Coturnix japonica: one gene and its partners. The protein of the gene in region 2 purifies or fractionates together with the protein of the main gene of each other region. This does not show direct contact. Links are inferred from orthologs where the notes say so. Each region holds a gene or a part of one and is shown on either strand. Other genes may lie near its edges.

Region 1 (3,566 bases), on a different chromosome or scaffold from region 2:
AGTCACAAGCCATGGAGTGAATAAATATGTTACGAGCATGTGAGCAAAATACCCATAAATCAAAGAACTCAGACTGCAATACCTACTGTTTTCAGCTTCTATATTGCCTCACTTTAAGTGTGACCTTCAAAAGAGAGCCATTCTGTTTATTTTGAGATAATAAAGAATCAAGCACTTTGTACAAATACTGCTGTTCCAAAATGGGCCTACAACACAAGGAATTAAACAGGCCTTTAGGTATCAGCTCTCTGCTCTATTTTAGCTAGATTTTGGGAAACAGATTTGCATAGCAAATTTGGGTAGTTGATTCCAATCCACAGAGCATTAAGTCTGAAGGACCAAAACAACTACATGGAAGTATACACAGATTCCAAGTGTGCAGCACAGGGGCTCTCAAAGCGCATGTTCAGCAATAATAGCAAAACAAGAAAGAAAAGGCATGTTCATTACCTTGGTAATGGTGAGCACTATGTCAGTGGATGTTACCAATGGCTGAGGGTTTCCTAGCAGCTTATAGCCAACCACTTCAGGAAGCACCATGCTGATTGGTTGGCCCAACATCACCGCTTCTGCTTCAATGCCACCAACACCTGGAAGCAAAAGAATTAAACCATCAGACTATCCAAAAGACACAAAAGAGTCAAATAAACCCATGAGATAAGTATTTTATGGTGACTTGATTTAAGGTGAGAGAAGGGAAAAAGTAAAACAGGACTGAGACTTCTATGAACAGATATTTGTCTTCTTCAGTTTTTGCAAGGCTGTTTTGGTTTTTGGTTGTTCTTTCCTGCAAGGATAAGTTTCAGTTTCCTACTTTTAGACTTGATCCTCAGCCATCAGATGGCATATTAGATAAATTTAAGTAACTCACTCTGATGAGACTTGGGATTTTACAGTGAGCATGTAGAAATTTCATTTAATAACTTAACCATGCCATGAATAAATAAAGAAAAAAAACCCTGACGTGGCACAGAACATTGGTGTGCTGTTTATGAAATATATTGTAACTACTGGTTATACAGAAAAGTTGTTTTACAGGAAAGAAAGTTTACTATACTCAAAGATACAGGTTGTTCCCTACTCATGAAATTGGGTAAGAACTAGTTTATCCTTAAGGTCCATTCCTCACCCAAGCTATTCTACATTTCTATAATTTTGAAGCATACAGACTGTTCTAAAGAATACTGATCAGCCAACACACTATTCACTGTGAGCTACTGCACATACCCCAGCCAAGTACTCCCAAGCCATCTACCATGGTGGTGTGTGAGTCAGTGCCCACCACACTGTCGGGATAGTAGTAGCCATCCTGATCCATCACCACTCTTGCTAAGTATTCCAGGTTCACTTGGTGGATGATCCCAGAGCCAGGAGGAATAATCCTCATGTTTTTAAAAGCCTGAGAGCCCCACTGAAACAAAAAATAGTCAAACATTTTTAACACATGTGAGCACTGGACAAATTTATGTTTGTTCCATCTTTGGTCATGCAAATAAGATTAACTACTTCAGTACCTTTAAGAACTCAAACCTTTCTTTGTTCCTTTCAAATTCCAAATCCTGATTCTTTTGCAAGCTGTCTGATCTGAAAATGAAAATAATCATCTGTCACAATCAAAAGGCTTCACCTGACACTTATGTATGGCCAAATATGCTCAAATGGTGAAAGAAGAGTTATTAGCTAATTTTAATGCTGATCAATCTCAGCTTTTAATGTCATCACAGCAGCAAAACAAAGGTAATCAATGTTGCTTGTATTATTCAAGAAGTTTAGTTTAAATCTGAGCACTAGTCCGCATATCATACAGATGGCTGTCTTGAAACTTGTACTTTGGGAAAACATAGATAAGACATTAGAGCAGTGTGAAGTTTTCAAGGCCTCAATAAACACAAGGAAATCAGAAAAGCAGAAAAGGGAACTGGAACACAACTACCTTGCAGCTTACATTAAGCAATAGCTACCCCTGTGGTTTAAGACAGAAAGGGTTAATAAACTTTCTACTTACACCAGCTCCCTAACCTAAGGATGAAGAGTTTGAAAGAACTAAAGCACAGGACTGGCCAGTGTTCTCTCCACATATACAAGGGTCCTACTAGAATTAAAAGAAGGCTGGGACAAAAAGTAACTATTAGAAAAAAGGATATGTAAGTTCTGAATAGGACTGATAAAATGAAAGTAATTAAAATAGACAGAAAAAAATGATCAAAACAGTGTGAAAGTGGAAAAAAAAAAATTGCACTACTTCCCAAGGATCTAATAAAAATGATACAGATGTCAGTTACAAATTTTAAAATGTTAGGATTCACAATAACACCTCTACAAAAAATTAAAGGGACTTTATTTTTGACTGGAGTGCATGTCAAAATTTTTTGGCCTTTTTTCTCCCATCAGTTATGAAACAGAAAGGAAGAAAAAGGTTACATGTAAAAACTTTCCGTCAACATTCCGCTCTGAAACAAGTTCTGTGTTACATCTCTGCCCAGAAGCAAAGTAATTTTATTCAGCAGAGCCCTTAAAATATTGGCAGTGCTAAAATGTTCATTGCGTTCTTTAATTTCTACTTGAAATCTTTTTGAGCTCTGCTTCAAAACTATCTCTTACAGAGGACAATAAATACAGAGCATTTATGCAGGCAAGGCAACTGCAGACCAACAAACTTCAGAAGTTTGGTACGCAGAAGGAAATCACGAGGAAACATGCAATGGCAGGATCTGCCTCAACGAGTATTTGGGTAGGCTCATGTTTATATATTAGGGTAAAAGGAACAACCCTCTCTAGAGGTCTCAGATTTAGTTGCGAGTCTAGTGAACATTTGTCTGCCTGTAGCACTTTCAGAATCAGCTTGCACTGTACTTCTTTCCTATACTTCTAGCAGTCATACTAATCAATATCTTGCACTCTTTCCTGTGGAGGCAGAGAATCAGCAAACAGCTGAGTCAGGGCAGCTCAGGTCCACTCTTACACAAATAAGGAAGGAAAGAAACAATCTTTCCTATCCTTTCCAGGAAGCCCCACAAGGTCTAAAAGTGCAAGTGGAAAAAAAGCTATTTTTGAACAACTAATAACAATGTAGTATTATTATGGAAAACTTTGATCACTATAGGTCTGGACTGAGCCTGTTTCTATTAACATTCAGTCCAGGCTTGCGCTGCTAAGAAAGGCACTACAGAAAGAATAAAATTTCTATTTTCTTCACAGCAATTGATACAATGCTTTAACTTCATCACTTCTCAGGTTCTACAATGTTGTAGTTCAAAGGCATAGAATATCAACAATTACATTACCAGCTTACTAACATTAAGAACTAAGAGATGTTTTGTATCCTTACCGCCTGTTAAAATCAACCTGGATGGAGTGATCTATCACTAGGTCAGCTGGACAGATAGGATTGATTTTTTCAGGATCCCCACCAAGTTTCTTCACAGCATCACGCATTGCAGCAAAGTCAACAACAGCAGGTACCCCACTATAATAGAAGATAATTGGGCAATGTGTAAGGAGAAAAAAAGGCAAAACAAACTCAGTCTAAACCCTGAGACTCAGAACAGGCACATATAACCACACAG
Region 2 (3,566 bases):
AACAGACAGTAAGCATCACTGGACTAAACCCGACGGCTCTGAAAACTTCAGTTCTGCGTATGTGTGGATGCTGAATGCAGATGATTTAGCTGATATTGAAGATGCTGCTGAGTGGAGACACAGAAATGTTGAAGGATTTTGTCTTGTGGAGCCAGCATCCCACATTAATTGTTCTGCATCTTGCTGCAGTAGAGACATTTATGGTTTAAGGACTAGAGGGTGGCAGCAGCACTGTGCTTCTACTGACTTCATTTACTGCGGTCACTCATTTTGCTGTGCTGGAACAGCACTAAGAACTATTCGAGCACTTCCAGAGTCCTCTGCACTGTGCAAAAAACCACCAAGGACTAAACAGTCAGAGGAAAAAGACTTGGCCTACTCTGGCAGTGACAAACCAGATGAAGAGACTGCACGAGTTCTTCAGTTTCTCAGTCTGTCTGGGTGTTACCAGATCACAGATCGTGCTCTCAGGTGAAAAGACGTTTCTGAGCTGTTTTGCTGCAGTGTGGTTTTTGTATTATCTGTGTGCTTGGGTTGCTCTGGGTTGAATCCACCTAGTCGCAGTTTAAGCATTTACATTGAGAACATCCAGTATATCTTAAGCAGTCCTTGCATCTCAAAGTATTGAGAATAGCAGATGTGAAAATTTTCTCCCAACTCTTCCTTTGAATGAAAGGATTAAAAAAGTTTCTTTTAGACAGCTCCTCTGAAATGAAGCACTTTGGTAAGTTTGCTTGCAGTAGATAAAAGCCTGACTTATTACTCAATGCCTTGTATTATGTCAGAAATGTGCAGCTACAGCTTCATAATGAAAATGAGACAAGACAGAAATGCTTGCAGTCACTTGCTCAGATGTGCTGTAGCTCCTGGGACTAATTAGAGCTGCTTGCAATTCAAGACTTCGTTCCTACTTGTACTGTACACTTTAGCCCGTGGAGAAACACTGTGAAGCACTGCAGGCACTGAATTGCCTCTCCATACACTTTGACACAGAATTTAGAGTACAGCTGTTCAGGTGTCTCCTAGCAGTTACTCAGGGACAGACAGCTGTGCTTTGCGGCTGAGCCTGATGTTGTCCAGGTGTAGGAGCAGACTGGTACTGCTGTCTGTGGTTTATTTGGCAATGGACAGGTAATGCTGCGTGTAGTTGACATGTTACCAGTGTTATTCTTCACTGAGTCCTATAGAATCAAAGGAAGACTTGATGCTTGAGTCATAGGGGGTGATTAGTTGTGGTCTCACATCAGTGCTTTTTGGTTACAGGGAAATGTTAAGAGTTGAGGGTATATTCTGCAGTAAGTGCTTCTTGCACTTCTGTAGTACTTTGGGTCCCAGAAGAAAAAATAATGAGACTCTAATGTACATTCATTTCATATAAACTGAACTTTATATTGATAGCTGGTTTTGTTAGTTGTTCTTTTTCCTGTCTGCTGACAAGGGAGGGTTTTGTATACTCATGCTTTTAGGACATAAAAGTGAAAAGGCCTTTGCTTGAACCTGGAACATGTTGATTGAAGCGTGAGTGGCTTTGTCTGTTCTCCCCTTTCTGACAGGTTTGCTGTCCTGTGAGCGCAGAGGAGCAGTCAGCCTAACACTGAGTGTGGGGTCAGATGCACTACAGCCTTGAGGCTCCTTTACCTGCAGTTGAACTCCTGCACTTGGAGTGAAAATAGAATTTGGCTTGAATAGTGTGTAGTGCTGTGATGGCAGAGAGAGGCTCAGCTGGTAAAGATTCATCTGACCCAAGGAAATACAAATTTGAGTTTCAAACTGACTAATAAAAACATAATACTCAAATTTTTTGGAAATTTTACACACCAAACTTGCAGTTCTGTTTTTGGGATGTGTTGAGAAATACACATCGCCATGGGAGTCTCACCAGTATCAGTGGTGTGTTGGAGAAGTGTGTCATGCTGGCTCCTAGAAATACTTGGTCATCCCCAGAATCATTAATGAAAAGTGGTTTCCCACAGAGCTGTATTTCTGTCAAAGGGAATTGTTAATTTCTGTAGAGATGGATTCATTTTTCAGCCCTGTCGTGTGGCTTCAAGGCTGATTAACCGTATGGGATGCCAGACTTGAAATTAAGTGGCTTATTAGAGGTGTGGTTTTCTTGCAGGATGTTAGTAAATACGTGACGTGGTGACATACAGGAGTACTTGTCAGCATAGTGCTGTGCCAGCTTTTAACACCCCTCTTTCTGTCTGTTCACAGGGCATTGACTTTGGGAGGAGGACTGCCACACTTGGAGCACCTCAATCTCTCGGGTTGTCTCACTGTAACTGGTGCGGGCCTGCAGGATTTAGTTTCTGCATGCCCTTCTCTAAATGATGAACACTTTTACTACTGTGACAACATTAACGGTAATGTCTTTTTATGAAGATGTGATCCTTGTCTGGGGAGTAATGTCTGGCTTAAGGATGTTTAAGAAACAAAGAAAAAAATCCCACCGCCAAAAAAACCCCAACACGCTGCAGCACTGCCAAAACCACACAAACTAAAAGCCTGCAAACTCTTTTCTTGGCTGCACAGCACTGAATTCAAGTGCTAGTTACAGAATCAGAACTGTTATGTCAGGTTGGCTTTTTGTATTTAAGTTTAATGCAGTTCTGTATTGCCTAGGGGGAAGGCATTCTTGGTCCATGTTCTCTTACTTTCTAAGCCTCTATTACCTATGCTAATCTGAAGTAAGTATATAACTGATACATGGTTGTCTTCTTCATCTCTTCCCTGTAAATGATGTTGAGTGCTTTCTTTATGGTGCTAAATCAAGAAAGAGCTGTCATTAGATTTGTAGCTTAGTGATTTTTTTGGGGGTGATGGAGAGAGGGCAGAGCTGGTTATGCAAACCTCACACGTTACAGTGGTTTGGGTGTAGAATACTATCATGTGTCCTTGTAGGAAATGTAACTTGGTCTTTCTAGCTTTGCTTGAATTACTTAGGGTTGAATGTTAGCTGGAGAAGGATCTGGAGAAATGCATAAAATATGTTTGTGGTGGAAGTCTTAGCGTTCACTGCAGCGCAATCCAGTCTTATGTCAGGTCCAGTAAGCATTCATAGCATTAGAGATGGGAACCACGGTGTGATTTTATTCCATGTGTGAACTTAAAACAGGTAAGTGCAACAGAATGGAAAGGAAGGATAATTGGGTTCACAGGGCTATAAGAACTGTGTGTAAAACAATATGGTATTTCCCTGATAGTTCATGGCAGTCAGCTCAGTTGGCATCTGTACTGAGCTGTAGCCACAGCAGCTATACAGGATGCCACAGCTTTGGTACTGTGAGTGAAACTGTACCGATGCTTGGGTATTCTGTCCATTGAAAGTCATGTGAGGTGATGTGCTTTACTGGACTGGATCCTTATGTTACAGGTCAGAGTATTAAATCATTTTTGCTTCCATAATTTTTGGATGACTTCATGGACTTTTGTGACACATTGATGCATTTCTGGTTTGTTACCTGGTTCTTTTCCTTCTTGACTTCTAAAATCTCTCCTTGCATTTCAATCTGGAAACTTTTATACCTTTTTAAAATCCTTCACTGACTCTTTCCTGCATCAAGTTG
Region 3 (3,566 bases), on a different chromosome or scaffold from region 2:
AAAGTCCAAAGCATCCTGTCCTGTCTGTGACTGGGCAGCTCCTCATGGGCAGTCCCTGCTGTGCAGGCTGTTTGTGATCTCCAGACACAGCTTCCTCTGTGCAAGCAACACAGCACATGTGCTAGGAATTCCTCAGTGCAGAGAACAGTACGGCACAGTCTCTCTCTTTCACCCCAATACCAGAAGTTAATCCCTTTGCAAGGCTGTCAGCCTTACCTGACTGCAGTTCCTCTCCGAGCCTGGGTACCATGCGTCCAGAGAAAACTTTTGGGTAGACAGGGGCCAGAGATCCAGCTGCTTCCATCGCTGCTTCACTGCCAGGAGGGAAGAGAGCAGGAGGGGTGATGTAAGCAATGCAAACTCTGGGCTGTTTGTGCACCAGCTGCAAAGATCCTGGCCAGAACGTACCACCAGAAATCCATTTCTCAGGATTCTGCTTTTTTCACCCTATTGGCAGTAGAGTCCCTTGCTTTGACAGACCCAGACTTTTTAATTCCAATTCCAGAAACCACATGGCTTATTCCCTTTGCTTCTAGACCCATGTGGTCTTTCCATAGTTCCTTTGCCTCCACCCAGACTAAGCCCATCTCTGTAGCAGAGCCAGATCTCGTTCCTCATCCCAGAGTATGGGTGACTGGAGCAGTGTCAGCTCAGCACTCACCTGCTCTGGGAATCTTCCTCGTGCAGAGAGAGCCGGACAAGATGATCCACAACCAGCTCCAGGTCAGAGGGCGACAGGAAGCCTGGAACAAGAGCCGGAGAGGAATCATGCCCTTGGCCAAAGGCTGAGATCCCAGCGTTCTGGCCAGCATCCTTCCCTCTTCTCGTCCAGGCTATTAGCAATGCAGCAGCACACAAACTCCAAAGATTCAAGGTGCCCAGTACAAGCAGGCAAGATAAATCAAGTGTTCCTGGAGCTCACAGACTGGATAAGAAGTGCTGCCACTCCTCCTGTGCATCCACATGCAGCACAGACAGCTGACCACAGCTCCCAGAGCAGGGCAACACCTCCCCTCTGCCTCCCCAGGGGATGAGAAACACCAACCTTGCAGAGAGCCCAGGACAGTCAGTGCCCTGATCCCAACCAGCTGGAGCTGCACACTGGGATCTGTGAGTGCTGAGAACACCACAGAGCAAACCGGCTCCTGGAGCGACAGCAGAGCACTCTCATCTGGAGACAGAAGCATGGAGTCACTGCCTGCAGCTCACTGTCACGGCACAACCACTGCCACACAGCACCAGACAGACACTTCCTGAGGCCCTGCCAGTTCACATCCAATCACACTAAATCCCTGGGGCAGGCTGCACATGCAGCCACCCAAGTCAATGAGCTTGTCTCCTCTGTCAGCATAAGGGAAGGCAAAGCAGCGCCAGAAGCTTTCAGGGTCACACTTAAGGGAGTCTGGGTTCCTTCCGAAAGACCAGCAAACCTCACCTTCTTCTACATGTCCCCATTTCTGCTGCAACTCCAGGAAACCCAGCAGCATTTCCAAGATTGTCCTTCTCTGGCTGCTCTGCAGGGATACAAAGGTGTAACCCAGCTCTCTGTCACTGCAACATCTCAGCCCAATGCCACAAGGCCAGGGGTGCCCACCCACAGCCAGGGAAGGACACCCACTTTGGTTGATGCCCCCTTCCTCTCACCAAGTTGGACAGTCACAAGGTGCACTCAACCCCGCTGCCTGTGACCGCTGAGCCCAGGGTGCCCCTCACCTGTGAATGCTTGTTGTACTGCTCCAGCAGCAGGGGAAGGATGCTGTGGGTGAGGCGGTGGTAAGTGCGGAGGGAGGCACTTGCTGCTGCCTGCAGGAGTTTGGCACTTGGCCACACCAGCTTCATGTCAGGCTCACAGAGATGGTGTCTGCAATCTGAGATAGGCTGGGTGTTAGCTACACCGGCAGAACCGCCTCTGCCTCACGTGCAGGGCATGGCTGATAACTGGACTACAATGTGCCGCTGGGACACAGCTCTGAGCTGCAGTGCAGCCTCCTAGGCAGAGCTGCTGCCCCCAGCTCCAGGCACACAGCAAAGCTTTGGACATCCCACTGCAAAGAGAGGGAAGCAACTCCACTCAGTTTTTATTTCCTACTGTACCCTCTTCTCCTCCCTCCTACAGCTGATACTCTCTCAGGGAAGCCAACACTAGCTGCCAGAAATAGAAGAAACAGGCTTCAAGGAGAACATGAGGGCAGAACACCTCCCTTTGGCTAGGAGGATGCTTGCAGGTCTGGCAATGCCAACAGGCCACTCTGCTCAGAGACGGGCAGGTCTCCCTGGCAGCTACCTTGCAGAATGCTGCTAAGGAAGGAGTCCAGCAGGTCCTCGGCATCTGAGCTGAGCACAGAACGGGAGAGACAAGCAGAAAGGGCGTGCAATGCAGAGAGGCACTCTGCCTCGATCTTCTCACTCGCTGTCTGGAACACCTGCAGGAGATGCCGTGGGGTAAGCTGAGCTCAGTGCTGACCCCAACCACAGGCTTTACACTCCCAACATGGGCTGAAGAGGCTCAGGCTCCATTATCACTTCCTGAGTGCCTTGAACAAGCACACCCAACAATCCCCCCAGACACACCAGTAGGGGTAGCCTGTCCCCCCCCATCCCCACTTTTCATATGAGCTGTCCAAGGCCACAGGTGGGGGCTGGAGGGAGATATGGGGCTCTACTGGTTTGTCTGTGAACTCCTGCTCAGGAGGAGTCCAGCTGTGCTGGAATACTTGTTAGGGGCTCTGCAGTACTCACCTCCCTGCGCAGGGATGACCAGAGGCTAGGGAGGAATTCCTGTAGCTCCTTCTGCCCATAGATAGCACAGCAAGCAGTCTGTAAAAAGGAGCCAGGAGAGAAAAAACAAAACAAAGCAAAACAAACTTGTGTCATTAGAACAGAGAGCAGGGATGCTGCCCACACTGGCAGACTCAAGCAGGACTACATGAAGCACTCAAAGAGAGGAAAGAGTGATGCAGGCCTAACTAGGATCCTAGAAACTATAAACCAGGCTCTGCAAGTGAGAGACTTTGGCTGCCAGATACAAGAGAGGAGCTTGGAGGTGGTTGGCTTCTACTGGCACTGTCCAGCTGTGGTCTAAAGGGAGCGGTGGATCCCTCCTTACCAGAGTCTGCAGGGAGTCAAGCTTGGCACTTTGCAGGTCTGAATCCAATTTCTCGATGAGCAGAGGGAGCAGGAACTGCAGAAAGAGATGGTTAAGACTCATCCTGCTCTTTGTACCACTTTATCCATGGCCTTGCAGGGCTGCAAGCTCAGCCTCTGCCAGGAGAGGCAGAGGTAGAGAAAAACGTGCAACAGGCAGCACCCTCCACACGCGCAGCCCCAGGGACTGGCAGGACACAAGGAGTACCAGGACATGGGGTGTCCTTGCACAGACTCCTGGTCTCATTTACTTCCTGCAGAGCTGCACTAAGAGTTGCAGTATTATGAAAGGCGGCCTGTGTTCAAGAACCCAAACTGCTACCTACCTCAGCAAACTGCGGCGTGGAGGCCAGTACAGCCCGGAGGCTAAGGATCAGATCTTCTCTCTGGATGCCGTGTGGATCATTGGGGGGCTGGAAGAG
Region 4 (3,820 bases), on a different chromosome or scaffold from region 2:
TACTATGAACAACCTAAGCATATACTGTTGCTTCTCTGAAAAAGGAAGCAGTGCAAAGTGTACCCATAGGACTGCTGTGTGTAACATGGCTTGGGAGGCAAGTGGTAACATCCAATACGTTATTTACTACTATTATTATGTAGTGGTGAAAGCTAAGATGCGGATTAAGTATAATTTACTAATTCCTCCTCTGTTTGATGTGTAGGTTAAAGCAATCTGTTTGTGACCTACTCATCTTTGTAAAAATCTTGATGTTTAAAGGAAAATCTGTCAAAGTCCAAAATAATCATGAGTATAAAGATTTTAACTGCTGCTTAGCTTGGTATACTTGTGAAACCCAATGTGCAAAAGCCACTTTCATAATGCAGTTTATAGATAGTAAGAAACCTGTTTAAAAACAAGTTCAACCAAATATTCTTTAAAAGTTCAGATAAAAACCCCATCAGTGCAATTATTAGCAAACAGAAAAAGCCAATTTACATTATAGCTTTATAGCTGCCAGCAAGCTAATTTTCTCCATACTACTTTAATTTGTTTTGACGAAGTAATGGAACGCTTCTATAATGTAGTTTTATTTTGCTCATAGATGCATGTAACACTAGCAACATCACTCACATACAAAATTAATACAGCAGAATACCACTGGTTTCCTGATCAGGCAATTACGATCGAGCAGACAAACACTGATTTACCACTTCCAATAAGTGAGAGTTCTCCAAAGCAGCTGCTACACGTTCTTTATCAGCAAGCTGTTTATTAACTGTACAAAAAGAAATACCACAAGGAACCGGTCAAAATATTGGTATAAGAGGTCCTTTTAGAAGCACTTTACAGTGAGTCTCATTGTTGCTGTGGTACTGAGCTACAATCCACAGATGCTAACTACACCACAAAGCTGTGGCCAAAAGTCAATGACAGTTCTGTAGCAGATCTGAAACCAGTAAGTTATTTATGATTCAGCAGCAGGAAGCTGTGCACATGTAACAGGACAGGAAATTTACCTCCAGCTCTCCCCCCTCTTTCTGTGCCTTCCAGGTAAATCAATGACGACTTGACAGCACAAGCTGTCCAAGGAAACATTTAAACTAAGACACTACACACTTTTAAGTTTTGTTATTACATATTCCCATTCTGTAACATCTCCTAGAAGGGGCTGGTTTGCATACAGGTACCAAACAGCTGATCTGCAGGTGGAGGGATCTATCTTTTCTCTAATTTTTAGAGTAATAAAAGAAAACCACACAACAGAGCATTAAAACATTTACCTGCGTGTTCAGAGGCATGTGTTCCTGGTGTTATGTGAACGTCCATCTTAAAAAGCATGGAGAAAGAAAAAGGAGACAAGTCAATAAAACCCTCAAAGATGAAAGTATTTAATTAAGAAAATAGCAAAATAAAGCAACAATGAAAGACATTCCTGACACAGCCAGCTACTGTACCCAGAAGAATAAAACCCAGTCCAAAAGAACACTGCACTCCCACCTGAGTAAGCCTCCGACAGGCAGGGAGGTGAAGCACTGCCATCTCCTGTGCCCTCGTGCCTTTACACCACAACCTCACTCACCTGTGATGCTATAGCACAGAACTGCAGCTCTGCACCAATCTGTTTGTTTAGTTTTTTCCTTGGCCTGGAGTGTTTCCCTCCTCCATAACATGGAACCTAAAGTTCTAGTGGCTTCATTTTCTAATTTAGCTGTTTTCTGAACACCGTCTGTCTCTTCTGCTTTCCAGAGCGATTTTACCACTCACCTTAAACCTCTCGGGCAGTGATCTGATCAGTTTCACCTTTATGGACAGGCCGATGAGCGTTGCCATGCTGCAGTGCGGGATCGTGGGTGTGAACTCCACCACTACGGTGCTCTCAGCATCGTTCACCTGTTGGAAAACAAACAGGCGTGTGGCCAAAAAATAAGAATACAAAAACAATGTAATGAGCAAACAAGTTGGAAACAAATCAACAACAAAAAACAAGACAGTCTCACTTTAACTCGAACTTGCTCGACGACATTCAGCTCCTCCAGGGTCAGGGGATGCTCGGGGTCGTTAATGGAGCGGATGAGATGTGCCGCGTTAAGGAAAGCAGGATGGAGGCCGCCCTCCCCGCATCAAACCCCCCCATCCCCTCCCTGCCGGCAGGATATCAAAGATCTCCCGGTCGTCGATAGAGTCGGGCAGCTCATCGTCCTCCTCCCGCGCCGTCACGGGCCGCTCCCCCGAGCGGCGGTACACGAGCGGGTTGGCGTTCTCCAGCGGCGCAGCGCCCGGACCCACCATGTCTGCGCTGCAGGAGGAGCGGAAGGAGCCCGGACGCGATTCACCAACGCACCGGGCGGGCACGGCTTGTGCGAGAGTGCCCCTGTGTGGGGGAGCGATGGAACAGCACGAAACGGGGCTGAGGCCGGCGGGGAGAGGAGATGGGCGGGGGGTATGGGGGTGTGGGTGAGCGGGGGGTGCTGTGGGGCGTCGAGGTGAGCTCCGTGCTGCGGGGGAGTTGAGTCGCGTGTTAAAAACGTTTTGCTAATACACCTGATACTGATTTTGTTCACTGAGAAGAGGGAGAAAAAGGATAAGGAGGTGATGGCCCAAGCTGCTGAGGTGAGCAGGGGCTGTTATGTGGGATAGCCCAGAGCTCATTTGAGCTGATAGGTCTCACTTCCTGCTTTGGTATTTTGAGGAGAAACTCGTTATGGTGAAAAAGCATCTAAAGAAGAACCAACTGACAAATCTGTGTTTCAAGACAGGGTGAACTTGCATGATGTATCACCCATTTGTGTTGGAGAAGATGGCTTTGCAGGCTTTATGTATCTTCGTGCTGGAGCTTTAATATCTCATTTAATTTTAAATATGCAGAAGTGTTAAAAAACTACTTTGGAAGTTGGAGGCCAGTTCTTGCAGAAAAGCACACGTACCATGCCAATTGTGGTGCAGATATGCCAGCGTTCATCAAACCTTTGCAATAGCTAAGCTTTTTTCTTTCTTCCTTTCTTCCTAGTTATTTGTAATCTGCAACCATGCTTTTTGTTGTGTTCATTTCTTTACAGGAATTGTAAGTCAGTACTTCTGAAACTCTTTGAAATTTCACTGCTTTGTAGCACTGATATTATTCAAAATATGAAGTAGTAAATACTTCAGAGGGAATTGAGGTGTGCGTAGGATTGTAGAATTAAAAACAGATTAATGAGGATAAGACCTTTTATTGTTCACAGTTGATGCGAGGCCAAATCATCCATCATCAGGATCAGGTAATGAATAGGTGTGTTACACTAAGGGATTGTATTTGTATTCCATCTCAGTAACAGCTCTGAAAGTGCTAATGCGGTGCATTTTCAGAAGGGGATTTAGCTGTACTCCCTACTACACAGTCAGCAGAGACCTTTGTACCAGTGTCTTCCGCATAGAGAACAGAAAATAACCTGGAATCCAACCTGGGAGAAAAATGGCTCCTCAAACGCAGATTTCTTTGCTTTATATCTTGTTTTGTGGTATAACATTCATCATTTATGGAACAGAAGGTGAGATGCAAAGTCTTTTGATTTGGATTTTTGATTATTATTTCTTTAACTGCCAATGGGGAAACAAACTGCACTAATAAATTACAGGGTAGTAGTTTTCAAAGGCAGTACTTCTCCTGTATTTGTATTAACAATCTGCAAAAGGATCCTAAGAAGCTCAGCGCAAAAGTGACTTTTTTTTTTTAATGAAACCATTTTGAGATGCTTTTATGAAAATGATAAAAGGGCTTGTTGTTTATTGAAAGGACATTGTTTTGTTGAATGGTGAATTTAAAAAATGTTGATGGTTTTGCCAGTTATTGTTTGTT

The links.
Region 1: the proteins of FBXL5 (region 2) and ACO1 purify together in Homo sapiens (affinity purification with western blotting; 3 studies listed by BioGRID, with this or other methods). This does not show direct contact. The link is inferred for Coturnix japonica from reciprocal best matches to the Homo sapiens genes FBXL5 and ACO1.
Region 3: the proteins of FBXL5 (region 2) and MMS19 purify together in Homo sapiens (affinity purification with mass spectrometry; 4 studies listed by BioGRID and IntAct, counting the BioPlex papers as one, with this or other methods). This does not show direct contact. The link is inferred for Coturnix japonica from reciprocal best matches to the Homo sapiens genes FBXL5 and MMS19.
Region 4: the proteins of FBXL5 (region 2) and CIAO2B purify together in Homo sapiens (affinity purification with mass spectrometry; 3 studies listed by BioGRID and IntAct, counting the BioPlex papers as one, with this or other methods). This does not show direct contact. The link is inferred for Coturnix japonica from reciprocal best matches to the Homo sapiens genes FBXL5 and CIAO2B.

What each region holds. Positions count from the first base shown.
Region 1 is NC_029547.1:62,725,573-62,729,138, reverse strand, and holds part of ACO1 (cytoplasmic aconitate hydratase), read right to left. Parts: intron 3,467-3,566; coding exon 3,329-3,466; intron 1,585-3,328; coding exon 1,515-1,584; intron 1,412-1,514; coding exon 1,228-1,411; intron 591-1,227; coding exon 451-590; intron 1-450. UniProt on the Homo sapiens protein: Bifunctional iron sensor that switches between 2 activities depending on iron availability. Iron deprivation, promotes its mRNA binding activity through which it regulates the expression of genes involved in iron uptake, sequestration and utilization.
Region 2 is NC_029519.1:69,533,591-69,537,156, forward strand, and holds part of FBXL5 (F-box/LRR-repeat protein 5), read left to right. Parts: coding exon 1-471; intron 472-2,214; coding exon 2,215-2,363; intron 2,364-3,566.
Region 3 is NC_029521.1:19,491,388-19,494,953, reverse strand, and holds part of MMS19 (MMS19 nucleotide excision repair protein homolog), read right to left. Parts: intron 3,558-3,566; coding exon 3,471-3,557; intron 3,182-3,470; coding exon 3,107-3,181; intron 2,818-3,106; coding exon 2,740-2,817; intron 2,424-2,739; coding exon 2,285-2,423; intron 1,869-2,284; coding exon 1,714-1,868; intron 1,515-1,713; coding exon 1,436-1,514; intron 1,172-1,435; coding exon 1,046-1,171; intron 744-1,045; coding exon 662-743; intron 315-661; coding exon 217-314; intron 1-216. UniProt on the Homo sapiens protein: Key component of the cytosolic iron-sulfur protein assembly (CIA) complex, a multiprotein complex that mediates the incorporation of iron-sulfur cluster into apoproteins specifically involved in DNA metabolism and genomic integrity.
Region 4 is NC_029526.1:9,722,409-9,726,228, reverse strand, and holds CIAO2B (cytosolic iron-sulfur assembly component 2B), read right to left. Parts: upstream 2,347-3,820; 5' UTR 2,275-2,346; coding exon 2,142-2,274; intron 2,063-2,141; coding exon 1,983-2,062; intron 1,876-1,982; coding exon 1,750-1,875; exon of another isoform or gene 1,732-1,749; intron 1,312-1,731; coding exon 1,266-1,311; intron 761-1,265; coding exon 663-760; 3' UTR 546-662; downstream 1-545. Other genes in the region: fatty acyl-CoA hydrolase precursor, medium chain-like, read left to right, coding at 3,437-3,512.